Drosophila melanogaster: one gene and its partner. The gene in region 2 interacts genetically with the main gene of each other region. Each region holds a gene or a part of one and is shown on either strand. Other genes may lie near its edges.

What was found.
Region 1: of Nox (region 2) and PGRP-SD, changing one suppresses a phenotype caused by changing the other (phenotypic suppression), as found in Drosophila melanogaster (one study listed by BioGRID).

The regions. Positions count from the first base shown.
Region 1 is NT_037436.4:7,649,004-7,652,556, reverse strand, and holds PGRP-SD (peptidoglycan recognition protein SD), read right to left. Parts: upstream 1,378-3,553; 5' UTR 1,353-1,377; coding exon 792-1,352; 3' UTR 657-791; downstream 1-656. Other genes in the region: CG7492 (uncharacterized protein), read left to right, coding at 1-247. UniProt on the Drosophila melanogaster protein: Peptidoglycan-recognition protein that plays a key role in innate immunity by binding to peptidoglycans (PGN) of Gram-positive bacteria and activating the Toll pathway. Has no activity against on Gram-negative bacteria and fungi.
Region 2 is NT_033778.4:16,305,312-16,309,243, forward strand, and holds the start of Nox (NADPH oxidase), read left to right. Parts: upstream 1-1,957; 5' UTR 1,958-3,932.

The DNA of each region.
Region 1 (3,553 bases), on a different chromosome or scaffold from region 2:
CGAACGGGCGGAGTTCACGCCCAGCGTTGGACTGACCACCTGCTTCCAGCCGCTGTGTACGCAGCGTGGCGAGACGCCCGAAGGTCTGGCTAAGAGGAACTGGCTGCTCCAGCTGGACTTTGCCCAACAGAGCGGAAACGGAAGCGGTATTGGCATAGGAATTGGCAATGGTAATATGAGCGGAAATGGCAGCATTGTCGGCAGTACAGACAGTGCGAGCGGCAGTTCAAATGGGAGTTTATATTAGTGCAATTTACCTAAGTACTTTACGAATTTTGTATAGTTCCTTGTTTTATATTTTCTAAATCTGTAATCTGTAACAGCATCTGTTGCCACGTTGCCGACTTTTGTTTACCTCTCTCGTTTGGCGCATTATCTACTGCATACCATTACGACTACGACTATGTTCACGTTCGTTCCATCTGCGTTCCGTGCTTCATCTAGGGTTCTGTATAGTTAGCTTAGTTTCTTGCGGAAGTTCCGGTTCGGTGAATGATGCTATGTGATGTCTCAAATCTCTATTGTGGCCCAGTGCACTGCTCCTGGGGAGCGGCCTGCTTATTAAACGGGTCTGGCAACAAACAAAAAAGTAAAAAAAAAAAAAAGCGGCAGCTGACAAAAATGTGCGAAGTCGAAGAAGTACATCGGAAACAGATCAACAAAATTAAAATTTTAGTATTCGTATTTAAGCAAAAAAAAAAAAAACAAATTATACATAATTATATTTACAAATAAATGTGTAAGGAGTGGTCTTTACGTGTCGAAACCTTATGCAATGCACACTCTATATTTCACATTTCTTCGGACCAGTTGGGCCACTGCTGTATCAGAGCGTAGAGTGCTTCTCCAGGACTCTTGGTAGCACTGACTTGACGATGGCCCAGTAACTTATAGCCCTCCACCAGCTGAGCCTGTTTGACAGCCTGCTCCAGCAGCTCCTTGGCGGCATCCAAGGCCTCCTTGTTGGGCGCCCGTTCTTCGAAGTTACCAATAAACGCAATGCCCAGGGAACCATCGTTATTGGGACCGGCAAAGGCTCCTCTCTGGCTTGGACTTCTGCCTTCGTATACCTTGCCATTACCGCCGATCAGATAGTGGTAGCCAATGTCCGAGAACTTTTGCTTGGACATCTGGAAGTTTTGCAGATTTTGCATGTGCTGGGAGCATGTAACATCATCCGCACAAGCTCCTCCAGCTGTATGGGCGATCACAGCACGTGGCAAGGGAGTTTCCATGCTGTCTATGGCTCCGTTCGGCGGTTTGGCATTCCACTCGGCCCTCGTCACGATCGGTACTTCCCCCTGGACAGCGATTGCTGTGAGGCCAACGATGAGCAAACCGATCCAAGTCATTCCACTTGCGTGTCTGTCAACTGACTGGGTTGGGATCTTATGGGCTGCGGCACCTATTGCCGCTGATAAGGGGAGTGCCCCCAAGGAGATAGTCATCCGACCCCATATAAATGAATGTATCATACATATATGAGGGGGATTTTTCTTGCCAGTGATAGATAATTGACAGGGGGTAACGATTATAAGAACAACTAGCATAGCAATATATCGTTCTCTCAGAATTTTTCTAAATGGGTAAAATTTGCCAAGCGAAATTCCCCTAAAAACTACAAGGCCACCACAAGGGGGACATATATGTAATAAAAAGTGTAAAATGTACATAGAACTTAAATCACTTACCACGTTCTTGTGAATTATTAAATAAAAATTTGCTGCTTTAGATTATTTCATAGTTCTTACTTATTTTACACTAACACTCGCGAATCAGCAGATTGAGCATTTTTACAGCATGTTGATTTGATGTTTTTCTTTGGCGGGATGTAATATTAATTTTACCGGAACACTCGTATTTATTTAGTTATAATCCCAATCTGACACAAACTATAATTAAACCGCACTATTTTTACGCGTTTCAATAACTGATTTCTTTTAATGCGATCGAATTAAGCGTTGAATTGCGTGTAATATCGACAATAGAAAAGAAGCCGAAAAAGTGAGCATTCGCGCAAGTGCCGCTATTTCTAGCTTGTAAGCCTGCCTTCGAGCAAGAACTAACTGTAATCAATTGCCTCTCTGTAAACAAACGTAAGTGTTTGATGCGATCGAATTACTCGCCGAATTGTGAGTCATAACCAAAGAAAGAGCGTGCTTTCGCGCAAGTGCCGTTATTTCGTCTTGCTTTCTTTAATCGAATATATTTCGGTCTCTTCTTTTGCAGCAGTTCTGTTTTTTTAGTGTGCGCGGAAGTACGTTCTGTTTGTATACTATTACCTCCTTTACTTATTAAACTAACTTTAAACAGTTATTTTAATAGTTAGATTCTACACAACGGCAACGTAGAATGATTTTTTACATACATAGGTCAGCTTAAAACAATTGTGAAATACTACTTAATAGCGAATGAATGAATAAAGCAAAGCTTTGGTTTCGGTTATTATTATTTTTTTTTTTTTGTTTTTTCTTTATGTGTTTTGTGTGTGTTTGATATATACATGTACATACATATGTATGTACATGCATACATAAGTATGTATGTATAAAAATAGTGAAATGCTTATACAGGAAGCCTGTATTCTTAAAAGATAAATATGATTAATATGTATAAATACAGAGAAAGTAAGGTAAGTAAGTTTTAATTTTTTACCTAATTAAAATAATTGGTTTGAAAATAATTGTACGCATAATTTAGTGTGTTGTGTACACTAATGTACATGTACAACTTTATATTGCAATTTCAATCTGAACATCCACTATCTAATGGTACACTTTATACCGCGTATTTCCCTTAAATGTATTGAGGCCCCCCGATTTATCCCTATTTTATGCCAGTTAATACGAGCCCACAGAAACCTCAACTTGACACAGATGTTCTAGGCAGTGATTTAATTAAAAAACTTTTGCAATTAAATGCAAAAACTGCAAAAAACAAAGCGGAGTGCAGGCCATTAAGCCCCCAAAAAAGGGCGTGATGAGGAAGTGAAGTCGCAAAGTGACAACGAAAATGCAAGTAAGCGCCCTCAATTAAAAGCCAAAATGAATATAAAATGCGATGGAAAAGGGATGAGAGTTGAGGGGAGAGTGGTGGGGAGAGCTAAGCCGCAACATCCAGAAAACCCGAAAAAGCCGGGCTAAAACCAAAAACCGAAGCCAAAACTATGCGCGGCTGGAAAAACCAGCTGGTGGCGGGAAAAACTCGCCGTTAACTTGAATTTAAGTGAGTTCTGAGTTGGGAGCACCCCTCCGCAAATCGGCTCCCTCAAAAAATCCGTGTTGTTTGGTTATTCGAATTGTTTTTTTTTTATTAGTAGGAGTTTTCCAATGTCCTGCAGAGAAAAACATATTTTTTTCGCCACTTCCATAGTCTCAATTTAATCTGTCCCGCATTTGGATGCAATTTTTGGGGCGCCAAGTTGGCTCATTTGCAAAATTGTCAGATTTATTTCGCTAATTGCTGCTCATCCGTTTAATTAAAATTAAAAGAACTTGCACAAGTTTAGGGCGAAAGTTTTTATGCGAATTCACTGAAATCGCGCATTGGGCAC
Region 2 (3,932 bases):
AACTGGAGTCTACGCACTAATTGGACGCTGTAGGAGGATCGGAAGGAGCAGGACATGGTCAGGGAGAGTGGACCGATCTGGACCATTGGTATTGCAACTTTTTTTTTTGTCTTACTCCACTGCTCTTAGTGGGTTATCACATAAATTGTGCGCACAAATCTTGATCTGCAAATCATTTTCGACAACTTTACGGCCCCAAAGGCGAGGATATGGAGAAGGTGGTGGGGTTCTTTGGGGCATCGAGGCCCCACTCTATATGCATATGTATGATCGTAACTTTGCTCCGCTATCTGTCGCTGCGATCTCGATCAGAGTGCGCATGCCACGATCCACGATCGCAGGCAACAATATTTTGTGGAACTCTGCGTTTAGTTACTTTTATTTGTGGTCGCCATTTCCTGTGGCACCATTAACCCATTTTCTGAGGGAACTAAAGAGATTTGGTTTCAGTAAAATCGCAATGAAGTTGGAAAATCCTTGAAGCCTATTTAAACAATATTTCTCTTACGATTCTGCCTTTACAATTGGTTAATAATAATATTATGTTATTATTATGTTCATCATTTCTTTCGAAAAAAATCAAAAAGATTATTAAGAATACTTTTATTAATATTTTACTATGAATTTACTATTTCCAATGGAAGAAACAGAAAATTGTGCTTTTGATGTACAAATTTTGGAAATTTGTTATTTTTTTATCAGAATATCATCACAGGATATTATCACAGGATATGGAGAAAAACTAAGCTTCCCCTTAAACCAACCTGATTCTAACTGATCTTTTACTGATATGAATAGTGTCATTTTAAATATTAAATAAAAGTATCAATACATTAAATACATAAGTATGCCCAGGAATATGGCCAACAATGGGTTAACGGTCTCAATCAGAGCTTGGAATAACTCAGTTGACCCGTCCACTTAATTTAGGGACTCAACACTAGCTGGCACCGTCCTGTCAGCGACTAATGAAATTTATGCATTTATGCTGGAATCCTTGCCAGCGCCAGCGAGTGGAGGAGCACGAATGGGACAACGGACGATGATCCATGTTAATGTCCATCAAATGTGCCAGGGGTAAAGCAGCTGTCAATTCGATTGTTGGACATGTCCACATGTCCATGTTGCAATTTGCAATTAGCCGCACTAGCAACGGATATCGCAGAGGATGGGGAAGTAGAATGGCATTGGGATGGCGAATGGGGTATGGGGATATATAGAGTGGACATAGGATGCCCTGCAAGTGTCGCGATGCGCGTTTCCCGTGAGAAATTTCAATTATTTTAATTAGCGTGGCGATCGCGGTCGCTTTATTAGGCGAAACCGATCGATGTAAGCGCGTCTGCGGCTCTGCGGAGTCTGAAACCGAGTTGAAGTGTATCTGTATCTGGCCAATTTCCGCTGCACGCAACGCTCTGCTGCGCTGCTGCTCCGCCGCTGGCGTCGCTGCCACGAAGCTGGGAGCTGGAATTCCAAGTTGATAGCGAAGACAGTCGCCGGCAGAACAGGATTCTGGTACTCGGGCATCTTGAGGCCGCCTAATGACATGTTTTGGATAATGATGACGGTGCTGGAGAAGGAGTCTGCAAAAGACCTGGGCAACTTGGCGATGGAGTTGGAGAATGGCGTGGATACTGGTCCGCCGAGTGGCGATAAAAAGCTGGAACTTAATTTAAATTGATGACACTGCTCTCGTCGCCGGCCACTTGGAAAATTGCCCACAAGCGGCGAACGTTTGCCGAGCAAATCAATCTGCATGCCAGCAGTCGGGGATTCGTTTTGCAGATGGACCACCCGGCGCACGAATTCGCGGATGTCTCTGTCTCTGTCCCTGTCTCTATCTCTGTTTCTATTCCTGTCTCTGTCTTTGTATATTTTGCAGCTGTAACTGCGGGCTTAATTGGCCGCAGCGGTGTCAATTGCAGCGCCACCACTGCCATCACAATGAGGGACCAATGACCAGTAGTGTCTGGAAGTGGTTAGTGGATGGCAGTGGATAGTGTCTAATGTCTAATGGCCAGTGGCCAATTCCCTGGCCACCAGCGGGCATTGAATGCGACTTGCTGACCAAGAGTGTCGCCCGCTGTGATTGGGAATGCCAATTTCAGCAATTAACAATGGCCATAAAAGCCTTGCCGGACAGGTGAGTAAAGCCGTCTTAAGCGCAGCGGATGTGAGATACTAAGTATCTCAGTTACCAGATAGCACTCGCCAGATACCAGATACCGCATACAAGGAGCTTACACATGCAGCACACCGTGGATTAGCAGAGTGTGAAGCGAAGGCGGAAACGATCTGAATCCGAATTCGATGCTAAATATGTATCTCAATCCGATTCAGTGTGGGGCACTAACCCGTAAACAAAAGCCAAAGGCCGCTGTCGAACATTAATCAGCAGATCGACCCGCTTAATGCACGCAGAAAAATATATTGCCTAATTAGTCATCAGTTTTATGGGCTTTATGATTTATAACAATTGCTGTTCTATAATTTTGTTGAAGATGCTCCAACAGCATTCAATAAACAGATAAAAGAACACAGCAAACTTTGAAAACCCAGCTACCAAGTGCCAGCAAAAATTAAGTTAGGTTGAATTATAACTTTCTGCTACCAAAATAAATCATAGCTAACACATAGAAAGTTATATTCACTAATATTGTACTAATTATACATTTTCAAATTGATTAGGTTCGAAAAATACAGTTACGAGCTTTCATATAATGTATTTTCCAACATAAAGGCTTTCAGAAACCATTCTTATGCCAGCTATTAAACATTTCTCTCAGTGTGGCAACAAAGTAGCAACATTTAGGAAAACAAGACACGAGTCATAGCTGTTGCTCTACAAAGTATCTATATTATTGCCCTTTGGCGGAGACTTCATAGCTCCCAGCTCCAGCATCAACTTCAACTTCAACTTCACTAGCGTTCAAGGCGCTGCAATCGCTGTGGGTGGGGGAATCTTGTCGGTGGGGGGGGGGGGGGGGTAGTTCAACGACTCGATAACAATAAGATGTTGAAAGTATCCGATATTTGGCGGGTGGGGAAGTGTTGGCCCGACCTTGGGCCGGATTGACCGCTTAGAGCACTCGAATACGATTGAATTGGCCACAAGTGGCTGGCTACGTTGGCCCAATCACGCACTCACTTCCTGGCCAACTGACTGGCGTGACCCATTGCCATTGACCCATTATGCGATGAGTAGTGCCAAATCCCAAAACGCAAGCCAAACTTAAACCCAATTCCGATTGCAGTTCGTAACAAAGGCGACGGTATGTGCCGTGCACTCTGGGTGGGAATTCGGAAATAGACACGTTCGACAGCTGCGGCACATAAACAAGTTTGATTGTTACGAAACACGGGCATTGAAATTAAAAAATGAAGACGTCGAGATCGCGACACCTGAATTATTTGCAGCCCTTATCGAATAAGTACACACAACTCGCGGTATGAGTCGCAAAAACCAAATTAGAATATCAATCTCATACGAACACACACACACTGGCAAACACTCGGGGCAATCATCTATCTGAGCAGCCATTTTATGAGTCGTACGAAGATGGAGATACAGATGCAAAGATACACACTCGCACATAGTGCGTACTGTATCGGCTGGGACATTGCATGTCCATTCTAAAAACTCGCTAGCTGGCTGGCTGGCTGGCAGAAGCCTGAAATATTGAACCGATATTGGGCAAACGCGTTTTCCAAAGCGTCGACCACCGATCGGCTCAGTACGATCCGAGCGATCAGTCCCGCTCACCAATACAGCGGACCATAGCCATAGCGCTCCGATCCGATCCGAGGCCCTCACCTCACCTGCCTGGCTTTCGCTTTCAGTTGCTGCTCGCCGCTGCCGCCGATTGGTGTTGCTTCTTACCTGTGTCGCGTCGTCGTGTTGCCGCCGTGTTTTGAACTCCGACGCAAGGATC